2 linked regions of the Stegostoma tigrinum genome follow. The protein of the gene in region 2 interacts with the protein of the main gene of each other region in a pairwise test. Links are inferred from orthologs where the notes say so. Each region holds a gene or a part of one and is shown on either strand. Other genes may lie near its edges. The genes, in order: mcmbp and asl.

The links.
Region 1: the proteins of asl (region 2) and mcmbp interact in binary tests that used the Homo sapiens proteins (3 or more experiments, as listed by UniProt). The two-hybrid records come from large-scale screens. The link is inferred for Stegostoma tigrinum from reciprocal best matches to the Homo sapiens genes ASL and MCMBP.

The regions. Positions count from the first base shown.
Region 1 is NC_081373.1:26,239,732-26,247,029, reverse strand, and holds the start of mcmbp (mini-chromosome maintenance complex-binding protein), read left to right. Parts: upstream 1-4,068; 5' UTR 4,069-4,110; coding exon 4,111-4,168; intron 4,169-7,298. Other genes in the region: sec23ip (SEC23-interacting protein), read right to left, coding at 3,761-3,881. UniProt on the Homo sapiens protein: Associated component of the MCM complex that acts as a regulator of DNA replication.
Region 2 is NC_081380.1:21,804,100-21,811,264, forward strand, and holds the start of asl (argininosuccinate lyase), read right to left. Parts: upstream 3,027-7,165; 5' UTR 2,786-3,026; coding exon 2,771-2,785; intron 351-2,770; coding exon 156-350; intron 1-155.

The sequences.
Region 1 (7,298 bases), on a different chromosome or scaffold from region 2:
ACATTTACCATAGAATGATTGGGACTGTATTCTCTGGAGTTTAGAATGAGGGGGCATCTCAATGCAACTTATTTCTGACAAAGCAGGCATACTGGGTGCAGAAATGATATTTCCATGGCTGTGGGGATTCCAAAACAACAGGAAGTAGACTATTTCAAACTGAGGACAAATTTCTTTACACATGGTCATCCTGTAGAAATCTCCACCATAGAAGGCTATGAAGGCAGTCACTAAATATTATTTAGGTAAGATAGATAGATTTCCAGGGACTAAAAGGTGTCTAAGCATATGGAGAGACAGCAAGGAGACTATGCTGAAATAGTGGACTTGCCGTGATCATGCTGAATGGTGAAGTGGGCTTGATGGATCAAAAGATTTACTTCTCCCCCATTTTCCATGTCTCTAAGTCTAATTCTACTGTATAATGAGAACTGCAATCAAAAGTAGCTGCAAAATTTGGGACGTGGGGTGTAAGAACAAAGTTTTAAGGACCTCTGAAATGCCTTTACAAACAGAATTCCTAATTATGGGATCATTATGTATGAATTCTTATGGGAACAGTACAACTCAACTCATTAATTCTGCGAGTTTAACAACTCGAACAAAGAAACTCTTTCAAAGTAAAAGCACTTGCAATTCGATGTTACATTGGAAACAAGTTTTATTTTAGTTTAAACAAAGTTTTGTTGGCATTCCCCCTCCTCCCCAAAGTGACTGATTCTAACACTTCAACGGCTTCAAGGCATTTTTGTTAAGACGTAGCTTTAATCCCTCAACCTTGGGAAGAAGCTACTTCTGTAAAGTGAATTCCTTTTTATTGACAGTTCAGAACCAAATTGCTAACATTCCTAAAAAGCAGCACTATGATAAGTATGTCTAAAAGCTAATCAGTTGATTTGAAAAAAGTTAGTTACAAACACCCCTTCAGCAAAACACACATACCAAAACAGATCTTTCTGCTTTTTAAGCAAGTTCATAAAACAAAATTGTCTCTGGCCATTTTTTCAACTGAAAATAAATAAGTTTATAACAGTCAAATGAAAACATACTCTATACATCCATCAGCATTTTCTTTAGATTACATTTGCTTTCAGCTTCTTCTTGCATTTCAGCTACAGATCATTGTCACACAAATCAAAAAACAATAACATTTATTTATAGTGTTGAGGTCAGAAGTTGTTTACGTAACAAAGATGTTGATCCCTGCAACAATTGATGATAAATTCAACAAAATTAACACAAGCGCAACCAACCTAAAAGCAAGCTCACAAAGAATCGCAGTGAAATGAAATTGATGCCTATATTCCAGCAATAGCACAATTGTCGTAAGTTCAAGAGAATGCAAAATATAATTTGAGAAATAACAAACATCTTAGCATGATAATTTTGTGTACTGCAAATTCCAGATGATCAAGTGCTTAACTTTATAAAAAGCAAATCCATCAGCAGCTTCCAGTGACCGGACATGCAGTCAAAAATAAAAACCAGAGGATGCCATTTAGCTGCCCTGCTCTTTCTCAAGCTTCAATTCAACAATATCTTAGTTGGAGACTTGATGGTGAAAGATCTGGAATATTATGAGGTCAACACAGGTAGATACCCACTAAAAACACATGCAAGATTGTGCTTATCCATTCACAGGCAAATTAATGTCAGAAAGAGTCATAACTATTTCTGAACTAACTCATTGGCCTTAATTTTCTTCCTCCAAGTATAGAGTCAAATTTGCCCACCACCACTCGCCCATCATTACTTATTCAGGGTATAAGGAATCTGGTTCAAGCACAGACTGAAGTTTAAAATGGGTCCATATCTGGGGAATTGGATCACTAAGCTCATTACTATGCCAAGAGCAAAATGTGTTATGTAATAAGTGTCTTGTCTTTAGATTCAAACTAACTGCTCCCTATACTTCCATCATTACCACCATTGGCATTGCACAGGTCCAAAATAACAATAAGACATGGCTCATGAATACACATGAATAACATATGAAATATTAGTCAATTCAATGAAGGATTAAAAAATCAAGATACTGGCTGACTGCTCAGATTAAAGATATATAATGATAGTCAAGGATGACCAAAGTTATCTTGATGTTGTGGCCCATATGCATAAGTCAAGTACAGCCAAAGCCCAGATTAACTACACTTCGTCACCTTAACATTCAAGGAACTGTACTGGCAAACAATGGCTGCCGTGCTTGCTTCCAATAGGAACAATTACTATGTTTTAGAAGATATATATAATGCCACATTCTCAGATATTTCAGATCTTTTCTAATTTAAATATTCAAATAAATGCACAACAGAAAAAAAGACAAATAGCAAAAGGAAACATTAAGTTTTAAATTTAAAACTTAATTCTAAGTTCAATGCTGTAATGTTTTACCAGAAGCAAAATTCACTGAAAATTAATATGAAGCCTTCTACTGCTCAAAAACACCAAAATACTATGATAACTGGATCACAAAATACCTATTCAAAACACATACATCGAAAATGTACCTTTACTTGTAAACTTCAATTCCTAACCGAGGAGAAAATGTTAATGCTATGACTTCATGCAAGAGCAAGGCTTCTAAATTTACCAAAAAGGTGATCATCTACAGTTAAATCAATAACTTTCCTAAACACCTTTCCACAATTTGAGCAATTTTGGCATTTCTGTAAAATTCTAAAGTTCTAGGAGTCAATTTTATTGTTTGTGCATCTGTTTGAGGATAGCCTTAATATAAAAACTTGGCCTCAAATTTCAATTGTTCTAATGTGTGTACATCCAGCTCATCTGCACTGTGCACTCACAAAATAAAACACGTTAATAGAAAGTCTTGCATTCATGTGGCACTTCTCACAACCTCAGGAGATTTAAAAATACTTCATAGTCAATTAAACTCATTCAAATTGGGATTGTTGTTGTAATGTAGGAAATAAGAGAGTAAATGTAGAGAATGGAAGGATCTACAAGCAGCTATTTGATAACAATAAAACTGTTTCATTCTTGGTATTAGATGAAGTATAAATATTGGCAGTGAAAACTTATTTGATTTTCTACATGCATCTAAGAGAGTAGGTGGAGTCTCTGCTTATCTTTCCACGGAACAGATAGCACCTACTGTTGGTGTAGGATGCAATCAGTACTGTACTGAAACACCAAACTGCATTTTGTGCTCAAGTCCCCGGAGAAGAACTTAGATGTTCAATCTAAGATTCAGGAGGTGAATCTTCTACTACTAAGCTACAATTGCCAGTACAGCAACTCTGACATCTGGCATCATACAAAAACAGCTGCAGAATGTTAATGCCCAACAAAATAAAATCATGCCATACATATTGTACAGGTCGCCACAAAGTAGCTTGGGCTACAAGCAGGCTAAACAAACCACAAGTGAGTCTAAGCCCGATTACATACATCGTATTTTTAATTGCTGACTTTTTGATAGACCTGCTATTAGGATCGGACCACTCAATTTTCTTTCAGTACACGTCAGGCTCAAATCAAAGACTGCTCAGTGACACAACCTCCTTCCGCGCCCCGTGTAAGGTGATAAAGGGATCCAAACCCTGTGGACGGCTGAACTGAATACTTCTCGATGAGACTTCAAATCACAGACACCAACACCCTCGCAACCAAGCAACATGAAATTCAAGGATCCAGATGTCGACCCTGGAGTGACTCCTCCTCCTCCTCCCCCATCCCGAGCCGGGGAGTCTGTCTGCCATCCTCTCAACACAACCGCGGGCCTCATTCATTCACCCACCCGCTGAGAGAAGGCTGCTGTCCGCCGCCTGCGCCTGACTGACAGGGATGAAAGGCACCGGGAAACTGAACTCGGTGTCGGAGGAGAAAAGCAAGTTAGTGCCGCTTTTCCTGTCGGCCATCTTTACTCCGGCACCGACACGTAACCAGCTGCTCCGCGGAGCGGGATGAGGGGCGGGGCGGGTGGGGGTCAGAGGTGAAACCGGCCCGGTACGTCATGGCGCAGCGGGTCAGGGGTCAGCGGCTGCGTCAATGACGCGATTTTCCCGCCATCGCCGTTGGTCACTTCCCTCCCCCCCCAACCCCCGCCCTGCCCCCCCCTTTCCCCCTGTCCCGCAGCAACTTCTCAACATGCCGTGTGTTGACGACTGGGTCAACGACCCTCTAGGCGCCGTGCAAAGTATTTTTGGTGAGTTTGCTTTCTTTCTCCTTTGTTGCCTAATCGCTTTTATTTTTGTTTTTGTATTTGCAAGTTCTTCCATTCCTGGTCCGCGATTTCTGTGCTTGTGCAGGCCTCCCATCCCAGCTCCTTCTCAGCAGCTCCTTAACCTTCCACCAACACCCCCCCCCCCCCCCACCACATCACACACAACCCTCTTTTTCTTACACGGAGCTTTAAACTTCAATTCGGAGACAAAATTGAACTTTACAGCTTAAGTATTTATATCAATCCCAGATCAAAAGGCAAGGCTTCGGCAAATAGTTCTTTTCTGTAAGCTGATTGCTTGTGAGACCATTTAAACTGTGAGCTACTTTTAAAACCATTGGCTTTATAATATGCTTTGTACTGTTAGAGAACAAGCCTTTAAGATCCAAGACCAAGCTGATTTCCATGTGGGTGGAGACAGTTATGGAAATCTGGCAGTATTCCAAAGTAGTTCGGTGTATTTTCTTTAAATTGCAAGTTATCGAACTATCAGAAGACTTAGCCTTGTTTCATGCTGTAGCTCATTTCTTTTGTGCACGTTTAGGGGACTTCCTTCAGTAGGTGGATTCATGTTGATTTACGCAAATGATAGAATATATTCCAAACAACTAATTTGATGCTTGTCAATAACATAATCAACCAATTTCCAAACTCCTGGAAAGATCGTTATCATGAATATAGTCTGGCATATTTGACTTTTGGCAAGTCCAGTGCTTCCTGACTGATATACATCTGTTTTTGTGACTGTTAGATCTCACATTGTAGTTTGTACTAAAGTGAGTCTGTTGAGTGGCCTTAATAAAATAAATCTATGTTGAATATATTTCTGAACTTTTAATTGTTTGAATAGTTAAATGATTATTTTGGAACATTGAAGAAATATTTAATCATGGGAGTATCAGCAATGTTATGTGTAATGATCCACAAATTGTGCATATATTATTTGCAGAACAGATAGAGTGGACAGTGAGAGTTTTTTTCCGAGGATGATGACGTCAGCTTGTACAAGGGGGCATAGCTAAAAATTGAGGGGTGATAGATTTAAGACAGATGTCAGAGGCAGGTTCTTTACTCAGAGAGTGGTAAGGGCGTGGAATGCCCTGCCTGCCAATGTAGTTAATTCAGCCACATTAGGGGCATTTAAACAGTCCTTGGATAAGCAGATGGATGATGACGGGATAGTGTAGGGGGATGGGCTTAGATTAGTTCACAGCTCAGTGCAACATCGAGGGCCAAAGGGCCTGTTTGCGCTGTATTGTTCTATGTTCTAACTGGTCAGCTTAAGGAGGCAGGCTTTTCCACAGATGCCAGCAGTCAATGCCAGAGGCTAGAATTTGATTACCATGGCTATTTGACAGTTGTGGGGCTGGACATTAAACTGATAGGAATAGGAAAGGTCACAGAGAGATTTGAAAATGAGGATGTTTGTTGTTTAACAGAAAGCCATTGTGAATCAGTGATCAGAGCTGATACAAGTGATAATACTAAAGAAGTTGTAAGAGGACCAGTTTGTCCTGAGGTCTGTAACTTTCTTATGTATAAAGTACCTTGTTTGATATTCAGTACTGAATGAATAGATGTTAGGGACACCAAACTATGATCTTTGGTTTTCACCCACTCTGTTCCTCACCTGATAACCATCTGAGGATTAAAAACAAAGTTGCTAGAAAAGCTCAGCGGGTCTGGCAGGATCTGTGAAGATAAAAAACAGTTAAAGTTTCGGGTCTGGTGACCGTTCCTTACTGGACCCGAAACATTAACTCTGTTTTTCCTTCACAGATGCTGTTTGATCTGCTGAGCTTTTCCAGCAACTTTGTTTTTCCTGATTTACAGCATCTGTAATTTTTTTTTTTTTCGGTTTTTATTTATCATCTGAGGATTACCCAGTATGTACTTTGTATGTATTTGTATTGTAATAGTTTTATTTTTGCCTCTGTGACATTGTCTGATTGATCTGTCTCAGAGCATTGTTGCTGAAACCCTCATCCATGCCTTTAGTATGTCCAGCCTTGACAATTCCAACCTAATTCTGGTCAGTCCTATACGTTTTAGTTTCCACAAAGTTGAGGCCATTCAAATACCTTTATCCATTCCATTTCTTGCACCAGATCCTGTTTATTCAACAGATATCCATGCTAGTTGAATTCCAGTCTCTTTCTTATTTATGATTATTAGTTGCTGTGCTTTAGGCATCTGTACAAAAACCTGCCTGCCCAAGTTTTTGGTCACCTGCTTTAATATTGGCTTGTGTAGCTTAGTGTCACGTTCTTGGTCACACTGTTCTGGAAAATATCTGAATGCTTCAGTGTGTTCAAGGTTCTCTGCTGCTTTTGTTGCATCTCACCTGGACTGTCAGGACCAAGTGATTGGGAAACAGCTGTGTATGTGGGACAGATCATTCAATAGAAGTGACAATGTTATCTCCATCAATACAATTGTTTGGTCCAGTGCACCCTTGCAGAGTCTGGAGAGTAGTTATGAGGAGCTATATTCAAGGGTGTATTGGGGAATGAGAATCCTGCCTTCCTGAAACTTTGAGTTGTGGAAATTTAGCTAATATATATTAAGAGCTTTTGAACATCAGCATGGGAGCCAGTCCGTGGTGACTACTTACACTACAGTGTAATTGTTTCAAAGGTCTTGGGGATTGATAAGGCATTTGAGCATTGACGGTTTGAATTGTGCTGTTTGCAACATTCTAGTCTTCTGTGAACCTTAGATGAGTTTCAAATCACTACAATTGTTCCATCGAAAAGATCCCACATTCTTTACCATCACCTGTCTCCACCTCTCCTTCAATTTATATGCTGTTGAAACTCTGTCAGCCATGTCTTGACATCATTCATGGTCGTCCCTCCCTGGTATAAGATCACCAAAATCTTTGCTGTGCAACTATTCCACAGTTGGTCAGTGTTCCTGTTTTGCTGTTCAGTCCTATATTATTTTCCATTCAACATTTTCATCTTTTTGTTTTAATATCTTTGTGGTTTAGCGAGTTTTGAGAAGATTTGTAGCTCAGATTGAGGTTCTGGATGTGAGTTTGCTCGCTGAGCTGGAAGGTTAGTTTTCAGACATTTCGTCACCATTCTAGGTAACATCATCAGTGAGCCTC
Region 2 (7,165 bases):
CAAATTTCACCAGAACACAAAAATCAAATTCTGTTTAACTCAATTTTAAGTGGTTTTACTTTCACGATAACAACTGTGGAGAGATTAAAGTTGTAATAAGGACAGAAGACCTCATTACTTTGATAGTTAGGTCAGCTCATTGCCAAGTTTCTTACCTTGTCCATCCCGTTTAGAATTTGATCCATTTCTGTTTTTGTTACCAGTCCAGCTTTTTCTAAAGCCTTGACATACGCTTTGCTGCCTTTAATATCTTCAGCCCACATTCGCTTATCGTAAGATATGGAGGAATTAAACTTTTCCATAATTGGATCAACGTTTCCAACAAATCTTCCACCCCATAGCTTAGTTTCCTAGTGGACATGAAAATCATTGGCATTGGCTACAAAGTTTGACTTGATTTGCGCACCAAGAAATTCACTCATCATCTGTTATATTGCTGAAACAATAACACATCATTACTTAACATATTAGGAATAGAGTCAGTTGAACTGTCCCAAAATATTAATTCTAGAGATAAACTTCTAAACCTTCTTTGCATTCTGAGTAGCCTTGCTCTACACTTTTATAAAGGCGTGAGATATATTTCTTAGCCCCTGATAAGGGCGTGTTTACATGTTATACCACCAACAGTTAACTGTTTCTCTTGCTTCACCCCAGGCCATTTTACTGGAGATGGGAAGGGGAGGGAGTTCAGGGTTATTGAGAGAGGTCAGCAGGGATTGTGCAGGTTCCCAAAGGCAGTGGGGAACATGGCAGATGGCTGGAATTGGCCTGAGTGTAGCAGGCTGGGTTTCAATTGGAGTCATTGGCCACCCTGTGGAAAAGGTAACCCCAACTCCCCAATAGTGGCTTCTGGGTTTTATTGTAACTTGCAAAAAGTTGGAGAAGGGCAATCTTCAATGGTTTACTGTCATCCTCATTAGGCTTTAAAGGCCCGCTGCTGATGTTTCTGTGCTGAAGAGCCTCCTATTGGCCCTCTGGCTTCGAATTCATGCCCACCATCCCTAACTGGTCAACAAGCTGACCCTCTGGCTCCTAATTAGCCAATACGGGGGTGGGGGAACATTCCCAGTAAGTGACTGTTCCCCACACGGCGCAATTTTTTTAATTCCGACACTGCATTGGGGTTTGAAGCCCATAGGAATGTGCTAAACTGGAGTCAGGCTGGCAGCAAAAAAATGTGTGCAAAGGTTTCATACGTTACTGCATGAACTCAGAATGAACCGGACCGGGAATAGAACTTCAAGGGTACAAAAACAATTTTAAACAAAGGTTGCAGGAACAGCAACTCATATTCCGCCTGGGAACCCTGCAGCCATATGGTATCAATGTGGACTTCACCAGTTTCAAAATCTCCCCTTCCCCTACTGCATCCCTAAACCAGCCCAGTTCATCCCCTCCCCCCACTGCACCACACAACCAGCCCAGCTCTTCCCCCCCACCCACTGCATCCCAAAACCAGTCCAACCTGTCTCTGCCTCCCTAACTGGTTCTTCCTCTCACCCATCCCTTCCTCCCACCCCAAGCCGCACCCCCAGCTACCTACTAACCTCATCCCACCTCCTTGACCTGTCCGTCTTCCCTGGACTGACCTATCCCCTCCCTACCTCCCCACCTACACTCTCTCCACCTATCTTCTTTACTCTCCATCTTCGGTCCGCCTCCCCCTCTCTCCCTATTTATTCCAGTTCCCTCTCCCCATCTCCCTCTCTGATGAAGGGTCTAGGCCCGAAACGTTAGCTTTTGTGCTCCTGAGATGCTGCTTGGCCTGCTGTGTTCATCCAGCCTCACATTTTATTATCTTGGAATCTCCAGCATCTGCAGTTCCCATTATCTCTTAAACAAAGAATAAACTATGTTGCCTCTTCTTCGGCATTCCAATCAAATAAAGGCGACTGAGCTTTACTGTTTAAAAACAATCAATCAATACGTAAACAACAGAAAACATTCCCCTTATCAGTTTGCTTTACACAAGGAGCAACACTGTTGCAATTTAACCAAGTCCAACAGAATTGTAGGGGTAGAAGGTGTTTATGATCAAGAAATCCTACCAGGCTATTTTGTAACAATTTAAACTGATGCAGGAAATGCACCTACCCAATTAAGTATGTTTTAGATGTTGATTTGGTTCAGTTCAGCAACATACGCAACTCCTTGTGGAACTGATGAAAATAACGTTTATTGCAACACACAGGAAAATACTCCATTAGTAAGCAGATAACTACCTCGAATTGTATAACAAATCCATTCAGGGAAGTGAAGAACCTACACACACCCCTGCCACAAACGACAACATAAACCAAATATGCCAACATTGAGAAGATAATGGTAGGGGAAGAAAGAGCATTGATTCCAAAGAGTACAAGTGACTATCTCCTCTTGTGAAAAACAAACTTGTACCCTGTAACCTTTCTGCGCTGTCCCATGTTAATATGGGAAACAGAGTGTCTCAAACCAACTGCTTTCATTACGCTCTGAAAGGAAACAATGATTGCGGCAATCGTGAGTAATATGGCAACACAAGGACAACAAGGAAAATATCGACAGGATTTCGCCCAATTCTGAAAGAGCCCTGCAAATCACTTCAGTCCACACTTGTTTGTGAGAACAGTAGTTAATATTCCCTCCTGCACCTTCCCAAGTCATATATTAAAGGAGGAAGTTAGCTAGACAACAAGAAAAACAAGCAGGAGATACTATGTAACGTCTCCTTGACATATAAAAATGGATCTAGTTCTTGAATTTAAAACAAAATTGAGGGAAACATTACCTTTGAACTGGCCATTTCGAACACAAGGACTCAGCACGGTAGGAACAGCTCAGGTTAAGTCAAAGCTTTTAAAAAGCAACTGGAGGTTATATGTTCGATCCGTCTGTAGGATAAACAAGTGTCAGTGTTTACACAGCCCCCAAAATGCTCAGTTAGCTCTGCACACCGATCTTCAGACGCGCTACAGCGCTCTGTGAAACACCCAATGTGAGACTTCTCATTGCAATTCTGATCGGTTTCAGCCCAGAAACTCCCAGTTCCGGGAAGCGGAATGCAAATCGCTAACTGAAGCTGCTGGGATTCGTAGTCCATGTCGAAACCTGTTAAAATAATTCCCAACTGTATATAGACCGCTCACATTTACCCAGTCCTGAAATAAAATAAACCTCTCTCAGCTGACAGGGTGATAGAGTTCTCCGTGTTGTGAGCTTAGCATTCGAAACTTAATTCAGTTAAATTAATTTTTGATTTATTTATACTGGGAGAGTAGGACGGAGTCTTCGCCGGAAGCAGGGTGTGAGAATGTACAGTGAAAGTAATTGTGGGTTTGTAATAGATATAGGTGGCCAGTCTATCTGCAGAAGTGGAAACAGAGATGTTGAGAAAGGAAGGGGACCAGTCCAAGATGGAACAGGTGGAGGTGAGAGCCAGGTGGAAATTGTGTAGAGTTAGAATTGGGAAGGGCAACTTAAAATACGCAACCCAAGATGTGAGGGAGCTGGATTTGTGGCACAAATTGTTGGAAGTAACTGGGAAAGTGCTTAAAGGCATATGGGATCCTGATCAAAATAGCCAATGCACTAGTAATTATTTCCCAAAATTGACTGGACCCTGGGGTGGTTCCCACAGATTGGAAAACAGCCAATGTGACGCCACTGTTTAAAAGCGGAAGTAGACAAAAAGCAGGTAACTACAGGCCAGTTAGCTTAACTTTGGTAGTAGGGAAAATGCTTGAATTTATCGTTAAGGAAGAAGTAGTAAGACATCTGGATATAAATTGTCCCATTGGGAACACCCAGCATGGATTCATGAAGGGCAGGTCATGTTTAACTAATTTGGTGGAATTCTTTGAGGACATTACTTGCATGGTGGACAGTGGGGAACCTGTGGATGTGGTGTATCTGGACTTCCAGAAGGCATTTGACAAGGTGCCACACCAAAGGCTGCTACATAAGATAAAGTTGCATGGTATTACAAGTAATGTATTGGCAAGGATAGAGGATTGGTTGACCAGTAGAAAGCAAAGAGGTAGGAGTAAATGAGTATTTTTCTGGTTGGCGGTCAGTGTCTAGTGGTGTGCCTTAGGGATCAGTGTTGGGACTGCAATTGTTTACAATTTACGTAGATAATTTGGATTTGGGTACTAAGTGTGGTGTGTCAAAATTTGCAGCTGACACTGAGGTGAGTGGTAGCGCAAAGTGTGCAGAAGTCGCTGAATGTCTGCAGAGGGATATAGATAGTCTAAGTGAGTGGGCAAAGGTCTGGCAGATGGAGTACAATATTGATAAGTGTGAGGTCATCCATTTTGGTAGGAATAGCAGCAAAACGGACTATGTTTTAAATGGTAAAAAATTGCAGCACATTGCTGTGCAGAGGGATTTGGGTGTCCTTGTGCATGAAACACTAAAAGTAGGATTGCAGGTGCAGCAGGTAATTAAAAAGGCAAATGGAATGTTGTCTGCCATTGCTAGAGGGATGGAGTTTAAAAACAGGGAGGCTATGTTCCAGCTGTATAGGGTCCTGGTAAGAGCACATCTGGAGTACTGTGTGCAGTTTTGGTCTCCTTACTTGAGAATATATATACTAGCACTGGAGGGGGTGCAGAGTACAGGTCACTCATGGAAAGCTGCAGTCCTTCCCAAAAACCTTACAGCATCTTGTCACAGCAGACCAGTTGAAAACCATTGTTGTAGGTGACTGCTACGACCACTCTGGCAGCAAGGTTCTGTTACTGGGAGAAGATACTGTAATTGAGCTTTTGGCATGTTCCTCTGCTTGTGCTTTTCTCTCTGCCTCTGCTGTACAAACACTGTCAAAGAGGTTGGCATTTTGTTTGATTTGGTTGCTAATTAAGTGCAGTTATCCTGGGCAAGCTTCTCTGAGGACTTGAAGTCAATAGCGAAACTTTGTAGCTTTCCTTTAACTACACAAACATAGAAACAGAAGTAGGCCAGATTATGGCTTAACAATGGCCTAACTCCATATGTCCGCTTTTGGCCCATATTTCTTAATACCTTTGCTGATCTCAGATTTTAAATTGACATTTGATCTCGCATCACCTTCTAGCTGTGGAAGAGACTTCCAGACATTTACCATGTGTGGAGGCACTTCATAACATATGTCCTGAATGGTCTGGCCCTAATTCTCAGACTATTACCCGTAGTTCTTGAATCCCTAAACATGGAAATAGTTTATCTTTATCTACACTGTCTTTCTTGGTGTGGTTCCAAGTTTTGCAACTGCACTCTGGGTGAGATACTTAAAGAAGGATATGATGCCAGGATACAGACAAAGATCTACACAAACGGCTCCAGAGATGAGGAATTTCAGTGACATGGATAGATCAGAAAAAAATGGAACTGTTTTCCTTTAGAACAGTGCAAGTTGAGAGGAGATTTAAAAGAATTCAAAATCACGAGAGATCTGGGCGAAATGGTTGAGAGAATCTGTTCCCATTGGTAGAAGGACCAGGTAAAGACACCAGTTCCTGATGGATGACAAAAGAAACAAAAGCAATATGAGGAACGCTGTTTTTTGGAGTGAGTGGTTATTCCTGGAATGCATTGTCTCTCAGTGTGGTGAAGGCAAATTCAATCCTAGCTTTCCAAAGCAAATTTAATAACTATGGGAAAAGGGAAAAAAAATGCAGGGCTGTAGAGAAAAACATGTGGCATTGGGTCTAGCTGAGTGGCTGACAGGGATGCAAGACAGACCAAAAGTCTCCTCCTGACCTGTAACCATTATGTGTTTCAGTGATAGTGTTGAAAGTTTTCCTTTGCATCATTTGGGTCGAGCTGCCAACCCTCCTGGATTTAAAGATTAAATTCCAAGACTCATAGAATCATAGCTCATACAGGACAGAAACAGACCCTTCGGTCTAACACATCCACGCCAACCAGAAATCCTAAACTGATCTGGTCCCATTTGCCTACATTTGGCCCATATTTCTCTAAACCCTCCTTATTCATGTACCCATCCAGACGCCTTTTAAATGTTGTAATTGTGCCCACCCTACCTCTTTCTTTGGCAGCCAGTTTCATACAACCCTACCCTTTGCATGAAAAAGTTGCCCTGAGGCCCTTTTCAAATCTTACCCCTGTCATTTTAAACCTATGGCTTCTAGTTTTGAACTCCCCCATCCTAGAAAAATGACCTTGACTATTCACCCTATTCATGCCCCTCATGATTTTATACAGCTCTATGAGGCCACCCCTGAGCCTCTGCCAGTCCAGGGAAAGTAGCTCCCGCCTATTTAATTTCTCCGTACAACTCAAACCCTCCAGTCCCAACAATATCCTTGTAAATCTTTTCTGCATCCTCCCAAATTTAACAACATCCTTCCTCTAGAAGGTTGACCAGAATTATATGCAGCATTATAGAAGTGGCCTCACCAATGTACTGTACAGTCACACCATGACGTCCCAACTCCAATACTCAATATTCTGACCAATGAAGGCCACCATGCCAAATGCCTTCTTCACTATCCTGTCCATCTGTGACTCCGCTTTCAAGGAACTTTGAGCCTGCACCCCAAGGTCTCTTTGTTCAGCTCCACGCCCCAGACCCCTTGTATTAACTATATAAGTCTTGCCATGATTTGTCTTACCAAAATGTATTATTTCACTTTCATCTTGATTCAAATCCATCTGCCACTCCTCTGCCTATTAGCCCACCTGATCAACGTCATGTTGTACTCTGAGATAATCTGCTTCACAGTCCACTACACCACCTGTTCTGGTGTCTTCTGCAAACTTACAATCCATTTCTCCTATATTCACATCCAAATCATTTATATAAATGACAAAAAGCAGTGGATCCAGCGCCGGTCCTTGTGACACACTGCCGGTCACAGGCCTCCAGTTTGAAAAGCAACCCTCTACCACCACCCTCTGTCTCCTACCTTCAAGCCAATTTTGTATCCAGTTGGCCAACTCCCTCTGGACCCCATGTGATCTAATGTTACTAACCAATCTACCATACATAACCTTGTCAAATGCCTTGCTGAAGTCTATATAAACAATATCAATCCACTTCTTCAGGAAACTCAATCAAGTTAGTGAGACATGATTTCCCATGCACAAACTCATGTGAACTGCCCCTAATCAGTCCAAAAATATGCAAATCCTATCCCTCAGAATCCCCTCCAACAACATTCCCACCACAAATATCAGGCTC